Tamandua tetradactyla: one gene and its partner. The protein of the gene in region 2 purifies or fractionates together with the protein of the main gene of each other region. This does not show direct contact. Links are inferred from orthologs where the notes say so. Each region holds a gene or a part of one and is shown on either strand. Other genes may lie near its edges.

Evidence for each region. The genes of interacting proteins can lie anywhere in the genome.
Region 1: the proteins of BIRC2 (region 2) and IKBKG purify together in Homo sapiens (affinity purification with western blotting; 6 studies listed by BioGRID and IntAct, with this or other methods). This does not show direct contact. The link is inferred for Tamandua tetradactyla from reciprocal best matches to the Homo sapiens genes BIRC2 and IKBKG.

Annotation. Positions count from the first base shown.
Region 1 is NC_135353.1:6,923,746-6,931,321, reverse strand, and holds the start of IKBKG (NF-kappa-B essential modulator), read right to left. Parts: upstream 3,081-7,576; 5' UTR 2,967-3,080; intron 1-2,966. Other genes in the region: G6PD (glucose-6-phosphate 1-dehydrogenase), read left to right, coding at 7,354-7,391, 7,519-7,576. UniProt on the Homo sapiens protein: Regulatory subunit of the IKK core complex which phosphorylates inhibitors of NF-kappa-B thus leading to the dissociation of the inhibitor/NF-kappa-B complex and ultimately the degradation of the inhibitor.
Region 2 is NC_135334.1:40,475,033-40,482,845, forward strand, and holds the start of BIRC2 (baculoviral IAP repeat-containing protein 2), read right to left. Parts: upstream 2,871-7,813; 5' UTR 2,842-2,870; exon of another isoform or gene 2,589-2,841; intron 1,638-2,588; 5' UTR 420-1,637; coding exon 1-419. Other genes in the region: uncharacterized protein LOC143644315, read left to right, coding at 2,871-3,221. UniProt on the Homo sapiens protein: Multi-functional protein which regulates not only caspases and apoptosis, but also modulates inflammatory signaling and immunity, mitogenic kinase signaling, and cell proliferation, as well as cell invasion and metastasis.

The sequences.
Region 1 (7,576 bases), on a different chromosome or scaffold from region 2:
TTTGTCCCCGACGTTTAAAACCCACAGAGGAGCCCTGCCTGGCCTGACCGTGTTGCTTGGGGAACTGCCATTTTTGCTTTGATAGGAAAGGCCACAAAAAATAAAGGCACAGGCAGAGGCATAGCACTCTGAAAGTAGGTGGAAGGCAGGGGGTACAGTCCTCGTTAAGCCGTGCTCCCCTGTCCCTAGCTACTTGCCCTGAGAGCAGATGGAAACAAGGTGTGCTGACCAGTGAGGCAAGCCCTAGGGCCTGAGAGCTGCTGCCAGGGTTTCTGCTTGAATTCAGAGTACCCTTCCCTTTTCACTTGTACCCCTAGGTGTGACAAGAACCTGTTCACTGTCAACCAATTGCCTTGACCGTTCATTTATTAAGATTTCGACCCAAACCGGCGAGCAGGTGCAGGAGGCCATTTCTCTGCAACTCCGTCACGGGCTTCCTTCCCCCTCGGCGCTGGGGGAACTTGGTGGCTCTTTGCACAGAACAACTTGCCACTGCCCTCCGCAGAGCCTGTTCCCTGCCACTTGTGTGTTTCTGATCAGGAATCAGGAGTCAAAAGGGAGGAGGCAGGCAAGCCAAAAACCAGGGCAAGAGGCAGTGGGAGGGAGAAGGGCTCCACCGATGGGAAGTGAAAGGCAAGGGAGGGCCGCCCCAGGTGCTCTCCTCTGACTCCCTGTCACCCCAGGAGCTTGGGCGGGGTTGGGGCTCTGGCTTCTTAAAGGAGCCACACCTCCTTAACACTGGGGCTTGCAAACATTAGCCCCTTAGTCAAAGAGACAGGTTCAGGGAGAAAGTAACTTGGCATTCTTTCTCCTCATCCCCTGCCCCCATACTGGCTTGGTGACACGGATGCCCCAGTAGAGCTCCCAGGTTCCAGACACCAGCTGAGGGCCCCTCGAGAGCGTCCTGGGGCTTGTCCAGGCCCTCAACCCTGTGACGTCTCAGTGAGAGCACTCAAACCTGCCACATGGCCTGGGGCCAGCAGTGTTCCCTGCTCGAACCGCAGCATCTCCGGGGAGTCGAGGAAGGCTTTTGAAATAAGCACCAAGGGTCCCCGGACCCCACCGAGCTAGTTTTGTGACTCCCACGACCAGCCTGGCATTGCACAACTCTGACTCGAGCCATCAGTCAGGTTCCCTTTGTTCTCCCCAGCCCTGGGAAGGGTACGGGGTCCTCCTAGGAGCCTATGCTCTTTCTCTCTCAGAACAGGATGGGCGGGACTCTCCCTTAAAGCATCGGTGCTCAGGCAGCACCTAGAACAGCTCCCACCCCTGGGCGTTCTCCACTCCTCCCTCTGCAGTGGTGCTGGGAGCCGGTTCTCCTGCAACCCACAACCCTAGGCAAGCAGCACTTCTCTGCTCATTCATCCCGCCAGTGGCCTCCCACTGAGTGCATCTTCTGTACCCAGCATTGTGTGCCCTGAGGACAGGCAAGGGCACAGGCTAAACCTCAAGTCAAGAACAAGCTGCAAGGGATGGCTGGTGGCTGCCAGGCACCCTGGGGGCCGGCGACATGGCCAAGAGCTTCCCCTTCCACCTCCCTTGCCCCCACTTACCCAACGCTTACCCAGCTTCCTTCCTAGAAACTGCCTGACTTCGGCTCATGAGTTACAAAATGGGCTTCGAGCCACTTGCTGTTCCCCCTTCGAGTGGCCACTTCCCCCCTTCTCAGGACTGCCTTCCCCATCCCCACCCCAATCCAATGTGAGAGTAGAGAGGCTAAATGTCCCAGTGGCAGGGATTCTGGTCTAGAAAGCTCTAGAATAGAAGAAGCTTATTTCTCCTTATGGACCCACATGGGGGAAAGAACCCTGGACCTTGAAGGCTATGTCTTCCCCCAACTAGTAACATTAATCAAGGCTGAAGAGCACCTCCTTTCCCATTAGAGGGGACCTCCTCAAATTGAGGGGGGTGGGGCACGGAGTAATAGGAGAGGGGGAGAATAGGATGGGCAAGTTCAACTCCTCCACAAGCTCCTCACGTCTCTGGGCCTCAGTTTCCCCACTTGGATCCCAAGGGCTCAGGACTGAATGGGTGCCCATGACCCAGCCCACTCTGGCCCCGGGAGAGATGGCCCTGGCAACCCCAGCCCCACCCTTTCCTCGGAACATTTCTGGGCCAGTCCCCCCCACACACACACATTGGGCCGATAAAATTCTTGCTGTGTCACGATGATGTTGGCACGCCCCCAAAGGCCTGTGATTCACGAGCCCCAGGGTGGCACTTTCCTTGCCAGCCCCCAGGTTCTCACTCCCTGGTGATCAGGAGCCAGCTGGGCCTGAGCCAAGGCCCCACCCCACAGTGCTGGGCTCTTTCCTGACCTGCATGACCCAAAGAGGGAAGGGGTCATGGGTCTCAGCAGGCAGCCGCTCTCTGGGGCTCTTAGCTGCCACACTCTGGGCCCTGAACCCCTAATACTAGAGAGATATCTGCAGTGGTTTGGGTCAACTATCTTAGGTTCTTCCACAGGAAGCTGAGGCCAAGTCTCAGGCAGAGTCTTGAACAGTGACCAAAGGGGGCCAAGGTCCCTTTGCCCCAGTCTGGCCAGATAACATGTGGCCTGACATCCTAATCACTTCTAGTCCTCCCATGAACTTACCACATGGCCTTGGGCATATCCTGCCCCCGCCCCATGGTCCTTAGGCAAAATGAGAGGATTGGGAAAGATGGGGAGCTCCCGCCCTCCTCTCACCATGGACCCTTCAATTAACCCCAACCCCCACATGTGGCTGCGGTTAGAAAGATTTTATCAACCAAGCCGTGAGATTTCCTAACATCTTCCCGTGTCTGACCCTCCAAAAGGATCCCGAGAGAGTCAGCGCAGGACAGCGCGGAGGGCCTGACACCCCCAAGCCTGGGCTGGGGAGAGCAGCTTGGCCCCTGTATCCCCTGGCCAGGAGGGGGGTATGGGTCTGCCTGGGCCACCCCCCACTGCCGTCGCCGCCACCACCAGCACCTCCTCATCCTACCTCTCCTCTGTTGGGTGACTGCAGACAAGCAGGGTGTGGGTTGGAGGGGCTGAAGCCGAAACAAGGCAAGCAGGTTCTATCACTAGTTAATCCCAAAGGGAACAGCAAGAACAAACAGCTCGGGGTGTGGGGCGGGCTATGACTCAGCAGGCAATAGCCCAGGCTCTTCTGATTTCTCCCAACCTATTGGAATTTAATCATAAGCAAACAAGACTCACAGTGAGTAAGGCTTAGAAATGATTGTAGACCATGGTTCACAGTGCTGGTTCCCAGTGGGCTGGTCCTTTCTGAACTGGGGGTGGGGGGACAACCCTAAGCCCCCGTGATAGGAGTAGATGCCCCCCAGCAGCAGACACTGCCAGTGCGTCCTGAGGAGCACCCCAGCGGGTGCTGGGGGACACAGAGAGGATGGCGGTGCAAGGACAGCCCCTGATGTGCTGGGTGGAGGTGCCCCCAGAGGTGCAAGTCCAAGGGCCACCCAGCAGGCCCAAAGCAGGCCACCTACTTTGGCCACAGTGGACCACCATGAGGGCAGGCAATGGGCAAGAAGGTCTGACGGGGGCATCCTAACCCATCTCGTGCCTGAAGACAGGGTAGAAAGAGTGAGTAGTTGGCAGGTGTGGCGGAGGCACAGTGTGGAAACTTCCCCACCAGGAGAACCCCCCAAGCACCTTTCCACCAATCTCGGGCAGGGCAGGGTAGGCGGGATTTTAACAGGGTTGGAATTCTTTTGATTTCGGTCCTACATCTTGCAACCGTCCCAGAGACGTAGACTCATCAAACCATGACCCAGCCAGGTCATTATTTTAATTTGGGGGTCTAGGGTGACTTTTAACTTTTTAAAAGCCTCTGGTGGGGGTGCAGGAGAAATGAGTTGGCACTTAGCCTCTCCACAGGCAATGCTGGGCTGAGGCGGGGAGTGTCATTACACCTGCCTTCTAGAACATTCCTTTGAGCTCAGAGAGGATCAGATAGCTCAGGCCAGATACATCTCCCAAATCGCCTCAAAGCCTGGAAAAGAAAAGTTGTTTCCACAATAGCCTGTTAGATAGGGTGTTTGGTTCATTTAAAATCAGATAGGTCTTTGCAGGGAAGCTTCAAAGCTTAATTTTGCTTTTCATAGTCAGGACCTTAATCCCAGGAGTCTGTTCTTTGGTCTGGTAAGAGTCAAGATGCAAGTTCTGGTAATCATTGTCAGTTCCCCTGCACTGCTTAGAATATTCTCTCCCCAGTGACTAGAAGCACTCCAAAGGAGCGTGGGTTTCTCACCCCCACGCAATCCCCACGCTCTCTTAATTACAGCTTTGGCAGATGAAAGAACATGCTCCCTCTACTTAGTTCTCCTCTGGGAAGAACCTTGCTAAACTCTCTTTAATTCTGTGAATTAATCAGCGGGTTGCCGGGAGTTTCTGTTTTTTCACTTGGGTAGACTTTCACCCACAAATCAAGGCCAGTTTGGCTTCTCCTTTCCAATCCCTATACCTTTTCCATTTTTTTGCCTTACTGCACGGGCTAGGACCACAAGTTCATCATTGACAAGAAGAGCCAATAGTGGGCATTCTTTTCTAGTTCCCAGTTTCTTAAAAGAAAATATTTCAACATTTCCACGTTATGTATGACATCCATAGGTTGTTGTTTTTTGTTTTTTGTTTTTTTAACCGGTTAAGGAAATTTCCTTTTTTTTCCTAATTTAAAAGAGCTTTTATCATGACTGGATATTTAATTGTCTGGAGCACTTTTTCTACATCTGTTGAGTTTAGCAACGTTGCTAGTTTAAAAAAACATCAACCTATAGAGCAGGCAAAGATTTTTTCTAGTGTTTTCTTTTCTCCTTTAATCTGTCAGTGGGGTGGTTTTCAAAGATTGATTTTTGTTTTCTTAATACCAAGCCAACGTATTTCCAAGATAACTTCCATTATTTCCAGGATAAACCCACCTTGGATTCTGATGTATTATATTTTTTAGCATTGCAGGATTGGGTCTGCTGATGTTTTCTTTGGCATTTTTGCATTTGCATCTGAGCATGTGAACGATGCTTTCAGTATCCAAGTTCTGCTGGCCACATAAAAAGATTGGGAGCCTTCTTTAGTTTCCTGGGGCTGAAGGTACAAAGTGGCACCAGCTTGCAGGGCTGGGGGGAGGGGATTCTTCAAACAACAGAAATAGATTCTCTCTCAATTCTGGAGGCTGCGAGTCTGAAATCCAGGTGTCAGCAGGGTGGTGCTTCCTCTAAAGGCTCTCTTGGTGGCACCCCAGTTCCACCGCTGTCTTCTCAGAGCTGTCTTCTCCCTCATGTCTTATCTGTCTCTTTGTCCATATTTTCCTCTTATTATAAGGACACCAGTCAGATTGGCTCCAGGCCAATCTGGCAGTCCAGTTTGCCCACATCTTCAAAGACCCAATTTCCAAATGAGGTCACGTTGGCAGGACCAGGCTTAGGACTTGAATTTGTATTTGGTGAGTGGGCACAGGCCCAACCCAGAGCAGTCTGCTCTCTGAGCCTCCCTCCCCTCAAAAGTCACATCCCTCCTGGGTGCCAAATACATGCACCCCATCCTGGCCTCCCATCAATGCTCAGTCCAAAAGTTTACCTTCTCAATTGTGTAAAGCGCTGACCTAAAATCGCCACCCTGTCCACAAACCTGTAAGACTTAAGAAAACAAGTTTCCAAAAATACAAGTGGTGGGTCAGGCAGATGATAGACATTCCCATTCAGAGACAGGGGAGCTGGAAGGAGGAGGAGGGGTCAGCAGCCGAAAGCAAGTTCACAGCCCCATAGGGCAAATTCGCTTCCATTACAAGGCCTGAGAGTCCTTGATGGCTCCGTGCTTTGCCCTCTGAGCCTGCTGTGGTCGCAGCCCACCCCCTCGGCCTCGGTGGCCCGGGAGTCACCCTTTCTTTATTTTGTCCCGTCTCTGTCCCTTTCACTCCAAGCTGGCTGTGTTTCTGCCAGTAGAAAATTCTCAAAAACTTTGTCGACCTTCCATGGAAGACCCACCTTTAGAAATGAGGGCTCTCTGCCCAGTTCCTTCCTGGATAACCCCACCTCAATCCCTGACTTGTGCCGAGGCCGTCGATAGGGTTGATAAGTCACCCCTCGATTGCTGCGTTAGATGGCCATGCAGCCGCCCCCTCAGTCCTGTCGCCACGGGACACTACCCAGCTGAGCTGAGATTTTCCAAATCTCCTTTCTGTTGGACGGTTCGGTCCCCGATTCATTTCTTTCATTTTCCCAGAAGCAGCCAGAAGTAAACCAGAGGTGCCGTCCCGGCTTTGCTTGGATAGCTCCTCAGCTAAACCATCGAAGTTCATGGCTTCCCGCTTCTACTCCCAACCCAACCCTATGACCCCATACAGTCAGGTTCTCTGCCACTTGAATGTCACGCCAGTCACTTCCTTCTAGAGCCTCACCAGAAGCATCTTAAATGCGCCTATCACTGCCAATACTCTCTGCATGGCGCTCTCATGTGTCATAGCCCTGAAGGCCAGAGGTCCAAAATCACAAGGCCCTGTTTCCAAACAATTCACGGGTCCAGGCATTAGAGCTCAAACATAGCTTTATGTGGTGTTGGTTTTTTGGGGGACGGGTGATGGCACAGTTCAACCTGCAACAGAGACTGCTCCCCTTCCTGTTTGCAGGAAGAGTCTGTTGCACACTGGTATTCTCTCTTCCTTGCTTTTTTTGGGCAGAGCCCATAGGTGAAACACACCCGGGCCCCGCCTCCTTCTCGGGGTCCATTTTGGTAGGTCAGAATTTTCTAGAAACTTATCCCTTTCAGTGGGGTTGCTGGGCGTGGCATAAGGCTGTTCATAAGCTCCTCTTCTGGGTTGCGTGTCAGTGGTTCTCTCCCCTTCTCCTTCCTGATCCTATTTACGTGTACCTTTTAAAAAGCCTTCTTGCTGCAGGGCTCGCTCTTCTGAGTCTTCCGTTTCAAGCACCACCTTTTGGTTCGGCCGATCTGATTTGGTGGTTTGTTTTCCATTTTCTTAATATTTTTTTCACCTTATCCCCTTCCTGGTCATCCGTGCATCTTTACAATTTAAACTTCGAAGGCCATGCCTCACGTATTTTGCTACCTGGTAGGTTTCTTGGCGCTCGTTTAGGGTCGCTCTTCTTTGTCTCAGCAGTTGATTGGGAGCATGGGGTCGCCTTTTGTTTGCTGGTGGCCCTTTGGTTTTGTCCGAGACAGCAGTGGGCTCGGGCGCAGGGGGGCACGCAGCCCCAGGGGCCAGCTCCATCCCTAACCTCGGGGCCCCTCTGGCTACAGATGGGGACGAGATAGATCCGCTTAGAGCTCCATGACGTCCAGGGCCGGGGTCAGAGGCGAGGGGGGACCCCTTTCCCGTCTCCAGCTGCCCTTAACCACGCTTGTTCCCTTTGACTCAGGGTGACCTGGCGAAGAAGAAGATCTACCCTACCATTTGGTGAGTGCGCCCCCCACCACCCCCTCTGCCCACCCCCAAGGCCTCCTCCCCCACCCCCAGCAGGCGGTTTGGGGTGGGGGGCACGCCCAGCCCGGTCCGCTCAGCCCTCCCCATGCTCCACTGGCAGGTGGCTCTTCCGCGATGGCCTTTTGCCCGAAGACACCTTCATCGTGGGCTTTGCCCGC
Region 2 (7,813 bases):
AATGAATGTGCAAAACTGTTTCTCACTGGAGAAGTATTCTTAAAGTTGGATTCCAGACTAGTAACTGAAACTAGATTCTGAATAAAGCTACAGCTAGGATACAGCTGTTTATGCTTTTCAATAGCACTGTCTCCTTGTTTCCAGTTATCCAGCATCAGGCCACAACAGAAGCATTTGACCTTGTCATTCACACCAGTGTAATAAAAACCAGCACGAGCAAGGCTCCTTTCTGAAATAGGAACACCGGTGGGGAAAGTTGAATATGTAGACATTCGGTAGAGTTCACATGAAAAGTCGTATTTCATTTTTTGTTTGTTGTCATTTGTCCAATTTGTCAAGATTGTGCTATCTTCCATTTTACTCACAAATTTTTGATGAGAGGGACCTGGGTCAAGTCTTTGGGAGGTAGTTTTGTGCATGAGTAGGTGCTTTTACTTTTTGATGGCTAAAAGCCTTCACATGAATTTTTCTCTTCAGACTAGATTTTTATCACAAAAAGGAAACAAATTATAGCTTACTTATCTAGAATTCACTAAACCTTCTTTACTGAATTTACACCTGATTACACACTCAAAATGACTATCTCTCCTAGGTTGTACCAAGATGCAACCTTAATATTTTGAGGGATTATGTTAACTTTTTTAGGTCACCCAAGTGCTATTTACCTATAATTTAGTGTAATACTAACTTAATAGCCTGACAGAATTGATGTACCTCTGAAAATATGTTAAAACCCCCCTGATTTTTAAAAGAGGCTTATGTTACCAAATTCCAAGCCACTTAAACTGTGCCTTTAATTTACTTTTGGTTACAAGCTACAATGCCTGGATATCAGGCCAATTACTGATTATGCTAAAAGACAGGGGAAAATGATATGCATCAGGCTTCTTTTCCTATAAGCACTTAAGTAAGGTACTAAAAAAAAACCTTGTTCTATTCTAGTAAACAAAAATAATTGAAGTCTTCATATAGCCATATTATCTAAAGACTAATTTCACAAAGCTTATATTCACAGCATAACCCATAATACGTAAGTGGGTTTTGTAAGCTTCAGTTAATAACTTTTAGGGAAGCCAACACTCACAAGCTTTGTTGAACCTAAGCTTATAATGGTGTATCATATCAAATGAAATAAATTTTGCGTAGAGCTCACAAACTGTTAATTATTCCATATTTCTATACTTGATTCCTCTTCCTATAGCATCATTATTATTTCTTACTAACTTTGCATACCACTTTATTATACTTTACCAACTAAAATTATCTGAAGGTATATCGCCAAAAAAAATTAACCATAAAATTTCAACAGCAGAAACTTCTCACATTTCCTGTCTTTGTAAAAACTAAATTATCTATCTTTCCTTTAAGAATCATGCATCTCTATCATTCATTTTGTAAATAACCAATCAATTCATCAAAAGTCACAGTTTGTCTTTTCCGGTATCATGACAAATGCTAACAGAAATATTGTATTACCAACAGACTAGCCTTTCTGTTTTTAAACATAATTCATACACAAAATTATACTCCACAAAACTCAAACTATATCCCTTTTTATAGTGTCTGAGTTTCCATAATGGGATTTATTATTGCCGGGGGCGGGGTTGAGGGAAGTAGATTCTTCAAGGTTGTAAAATCTGAAAAGAAAATACAAAAGCTATTTTAGAAAATTTTAGTTTTATTGAAAAGAGAATCACAGAATTTATACTTTAGACAATACATCTTGAATCCAGCTATTTGTCACCAAAATGTTGTAACTGGAAAAGCTCATAAGTTAAATAAATGCAATATCCTCTCATTAGCACTTACATCTTTGAAAAATGTACAACTTTGACGCAGACGGACATTTCCACAAAGGGAAGTCTCCTCACCTTTTCTGGTAAAAACTTTTTAGTAGTTTAAGGATATCTCTGACAGTTTGTTGGTGAAAAAAACAGATAATGTTGAAAAAAGACTTTACTATACCCATCAGCAAGAACACAGAAGTTATTAGACAGTTATGTTATTTTTTAATGTCAAGTCTCTCCAGGACTAGGCAAATTGCCTAGTCTAGTAAGAGTAAAATGCATCAGGAGCTCATTATATAAAACTTAAACTCTACAACTCCTATAATTACAAAGCCACAACCACAGAAAACAAAACAGCACAATGGCCTGTGAAACAATGGCCTCGGGAATTGTGACCACTAACATGAATGCTTTTATTACACTAGATCTGATCGCATATTAAATTATAGATTTCTATCGACGAGCACTGTATTGATGATTTTACCATTTTATGCAAACTATAGACAGTCAGGAGTGGGGGTTGTGTGGGGTGCAGACCAGAAGGGAAAAACAGAGAAACTATGGGATTTAGTCATTAATTTTCCGGGGTTATTTTTCACAATAAACAATTGTCTACAGAAGGGCAGAGAGCAACTGTTAACTCTGAAATGTGAGATCTCGCCACCACAGGGCCGTCTTCGTTTAAATATTTTAAATTTAAGGAATACCGAAAGCTAAGTTTAAAACCTTGCAAAACCTCTGAGAGAAAACAACTTGGCCAAACACCAAGGGCTGAAAAAATGGGCGGTGGCCAGAGTCTGCGTGAAAACAACTCAATTTTTTTAAACCACTTTCGATTGCATGCCTTGAAGCTAGGGCTTCCGAATTAAATGAAAACCGTGTCAAAGGCAGAAAGCAGAGCTCACTGCGACCCGCAACCCTCAGCTAAGAGCCCCCAGGCCTCGGCCTTCCTCGCACCTCCGCACTTCAGAGAAGTGGCTCCCTGCTAGCCGGAATGCCCCAAGCCGCCTCCCGCGAACCCGCGCCGCCAGGGCCGTCAAAGAGTTGCACTCACCGTGATGCCGGCGCAACTAGACGGAAGCGATGCTGCGGCGGCGCCAAGGCTGCTTAGAGGCCTCCTCAGGCTCTGGCAGCTGCAGCGCAGATAGCAGCCAGGCCAAGCCAGACCAGGCAGGGCTCGCGTCCTGCGCTCCTAAAACCGCCCCCCACCCCCCGGGCCCTGGAGGGCTTACGCCAACGCACGGTGACGTCAGCGCGCCCGGCTCGCGTCAACCGCCTCCCGACCGCGGAGGGGTCTGCTGCAAAAAGCCTGACGCCGAAGAGCAGGCGGCGCTGGAAGTTTTCAGACTAGCCGAGCTTCAGGGAGAGACGCAGAGAGACAGCGAAGCCGGCGTGGTAGTCCACCTGGAGCTGCGCGCTCAGCCCACGGCGTGAGGTGGGACTATCCACATTAATTAGGTGTTTTGCTTTTTCATCTCGTGGCTTGGCCACTTTTAACGCTTCCCTCTCCCTGTCCCTAACAACCTTCTGAGGAGGACGAGGCACTTTTTCGTGTTCCGTTGCGTTTGAGTCTCGGGAAACCCTGCGCCAACGCCATTGCGCCGGTGATTTTGTGCCTCTTCTTCCATGTCACCTCAGGAGTTATGATCCAGCCAGTGGCGAAATTGCCTTAGTCTGACGCCTCCACTCGTAGATGACTGTATTTGGAAATGGAGTCTAGTGTCTTTTTTTTCGTCCGGTAACCGTGTAAATTGAAACCAGCCAAGTGTTGGAAAATTGAACTGCATCAAAAGGTTAATTTTGAACACTTGATGTGTTTATAATCGACGAGTGTAACTTTTGTTTTTAAAACTTTGGCTTTCTGTTCTGGAGACATATGCGTTAAAGAGAAAGTGCCCTTCAGATGCCCATCGCTAGCAGCGAACAGTATTTTAGACCAATCTTAACTCCCAAATTTCTCTCAATGTTTGAATAAAATGGTATTTATGCATACACATATATGTACATGTGTATATGTGTGTACGTGTGTGTATGGTGTATGCGAACCGGTGCGGAACCCCTTTATAAAATGTGTAAATAGTTAAGTGATAGACGAAATGCAAAATCTTGGTCTTACTAGGCATGGACATTTTTTCACTTGCTCCCTAATAATTCCAGGAACACAGTGGCAGACAGTAAATATTTGTCATATTGCAATGACCCAATTTTTAAAAAATTTATAATCTCAAGACGTTTGTCAATTAATTCAGATGCTTTCTTCTTTCAGGGGAACTCCAAGGACAAGTATTTCAAAAACTTACAACTAAGTCTCTTAATTATGTAAGCAGGGGAATTCCAAGACCCTGAACCATTTCCCATTTCCTGCACATGTCATTTCTGCCTGCCATTCATAGAACATGTCTCTGTCCCAATGTTAACAATAAAAAGAAAGAATTTGTAACCATTCATGGATGTGGAAAAAAGAAATGCTATGACTCTCAGTGACCAAATGTTTTCAAAATGCGCATGGTTTTTGCTAATATTTGGGTATTTGCTCTAAGTCATTATTTCTGGGATGTTCAGAAACATTCCTCTTATCTGTGGGGAAATATGTAATCTAGAAAGTATACATAGCAAGAATTTTTCATTGTGAATTCAAGTCTATTTCTCTTTTTTTAGTTCTTGTCCTGACCAAAAAAAGTAAAATATGAATATTCTCAGTTTAGGGGAAATTTTTTTTTTTTTTTTTTTTTTAAGGAAAGACAGAGAGAAGGAAGGAAGGATAGAAGGAAGGAAGGAAGGAAGAAAGGGAAACATTTTTAAACATTTTCTTGTTTTATTGTATTCTGTTTCTCCGTTTTTGTTACATGGGCTGGGGCCGGGAATCGAACCGAGGTCCTCCGGCATAGCAGGCAAGCACTTTGCCCGCTGAGCCACCGCAGCCCGCCCAGTTTAGGGGAAATTTTAAATCTCAAAGCTCAAAAGCCATAAATATTTTTCCTTAAAAAAAAGTATGTAATATCATTCAGGTGTAATAAATACAACTTTTAATCTTGTATGACATTGTGATCTAGTATTACTAGCTGTTTATCCATTTATCAGTTAATTTTTTTCGTATTTCCAGTGTACAATAGCTAGTGATTTTTAAAAATAGGCTGTATAAATCTGCTGCTTTTGCATTCATAATATTTATTGCATTTACGTAGAGAAACTTATGTATAGGATCCAAGACAATTTTGAAGAAGAATGAAGTTGAAGAAACTTGCCCTACCAGATACCAAGTTATATAATAAAGCATAATAATTAAGACCATCTTAGATTAGCACAAAAATGGACAAATAGACAAAGGTACAGGTCAGAGAGCTAGAAAAATGTGCACATTTATGTGGGAATTGGATAGATGACAATAGTGTTCATATTAGTGAGAAAAGGATCAACAAGTCACTAAATAATGTTGAATTGAATGATTACTCTAATGGAATATAATATTAAATCATGACCTTACACTATTAAAAAAAATTCCTGGTGAACAGCTATCTCATGAACTCAGAGATGTAAATGTATTTGGTGAGTTGTAATTCATTGCAGCTATCATCATTATTTTCAAATTGTTTTATCTTATGCTAGTAGGAGCTTATTCATTTTTTTTTTTTTTTTGGAGTTCATGGGCCAGAAGTTATACTGGCTTTTAAGTCCTTTCCATACAGCAGTAGTAGTCTTTGCTCTCCATGCTCATCTTGTACATTTTATCCCATCCCATGATAAGCTTTCCAAGGTGCCCTGGTTCCTTTAATGGGAAATGGTATTTAAGGACCATAATTTCACATTGTGTTTATCCATTCATCTGCTTCTGGACATTCAGGTTGCTCCCATCTTTTGGCTATTGTGAATAACACTGCTGTGAACATTGGTGTACAAATATCTCTCCAATATATAGATTCCCTACTTTTAGTTCTTTTGGGTATAGACACCTAGAAGTGGAATTGTCATATCATATGGTGGTTTTATGTTTAACTTTCTTAAGAAGCATGAGTAAACAGTACATAGTAATGTTTGTCTGATGCATATGTTAATATTTAGAGAAATAAGACAAAACTGAGGAAAAGTGATGAAAAGCATTAAGTTGATAGGCTGCATTTGAATTCAGCAGACCCAGGCCTAAAAACTCAATAGTAACAAGAGACTGATTCGTTCAACATTTGTTTTTTTTTTTTAGACATTCATATATCTTTCAGTAGCATGTTACAACTTACTCTCCTGAATGAATGGACATTCAGATTGTTCTAATATTTTGTCATAATGCTGCAATAATCATTCTTGTGTTTCCTTTTGCACATATGGAAGAGTTTCTCTCAATACCTAAATGTGGAATTGCCATGTCTAATGGCGTGCATCTCTTCAAGTCTTCTAGATCTTAACAAATTACTCTCTGGAGTGGTTACTCTCCTATCAGTAGTGCCACTATTCTTCATCCTTGTCACTTTTAGTATTGTGACTTAATTTTTGCCAATGTGATATTTGAAATGTTTGTATTTTGTTTCCATTTGCATGTTTCTGATACCTAGTGAGATTGAACATTCTTAAATAAGTTTATTAGTCATTTAGTTTTGTTCTGCAAATTGCTTTTCACCACCTTTGCCCATTTCATTTTCTTTTTTTTTTTTTGTCATATTCATTTGTAGAAGTTCTTTAGAAAAATTCTCTATCCAAATCTTTTGTTGGTTATATATATTGTAAATATCTTCTTCAAGTCTGTGGCTTGTCTTTTCATGTTAATTATTTCCTTCAGTGAACTGTATATTTTATTCTTTTAAAGTTTTTATTTCCAAATAATTTCTAAGTTGCAAGGTAGTTGAAAAAATAACACAAAACCCATACAGAAACTCCAACATACCTACCACCTATATACCCAGATCCACTAGTTTTAACATTTTTCTGTCTATCACTCTGTGTCTTTATCTATCTATCTACCTACTTGATCTATGTTTATCTTTCTATCTATGTCTATTAGTTTTCTAAACATTTGAAGGTAGGTTGTACGTAATACTTCCATGCACATTTCCTAAGAACAAAGATGTTGGCCTATATAACCACCTTAAATATAGTTATCAAGTTCAAGCTTTTGGTCTGTGTGTTAGGGTTCTCTAGAGACAACCAACAGGAGAAATCTGTAAATATGAGATTTATGAAGGTGTCTCACACAACCATGGGAATGGAAGAGTCCAAAATCTGTAGGGTGGGCTGTGACGCTGGCTGCTCCAATGAAGGTCTGGACAAAGCCCACAGAAGGGGCTTGCTGGCTGAACAAGCAGTGAAAGAGTCCCTCCTCTTCCTTAAAACCTCCCAACTGATTGCATTATCTCCTTATGGGAAACTTGCCTTAGTTGGTCATAGATGTAATCACCACAGATATAGTCAACTGACTGATGATTTAATATACTAGCCTTCTGGTTTATCAACCAGCCATGAAATATCCTTTTAGCTATGGTCAGGCCAGTGTTTGTCTGACCGGACAACTGTATACCATCACTTAGCCAAGTTGACACCAGAACCTAATCATCACATTCCTCCCCTTGTCAACTTGGCAGCTAACACATCACTTTGAAACAAGGTTAATTTCCAAATGAACACAAGAACAGACATATGTTTCATCTAACAATATTCAACTGTCCTGCGAACAACCGAAAGTGCACTACATCTCCCCAAAATAGGGTACAAGTCATTAGGTAACATTCACTCTAAACTTCATATCCTGTGACTTAAATACTATAAGATGAACAATACAACTTCTGTCATATGATAAGAGGAAAACAAGATATTTATGTACAAATACAAACATATTCATAATAAAACAAGGAAATATTCATACAATCACAGTCCTCATTTCTTTAGCTAGTCACATGGTCATAGTTCATATTTATCACTACCTTCTGCGCATTCCTTGTTCCTTTACCCTCAGCAAGCACTTCAGCTGGCTATGTTCTTTGCTAGGTGAGGTGACCCAGACTTGTATTCCTGAAGTTTCTGGGCCATTGGTAATCCTACCT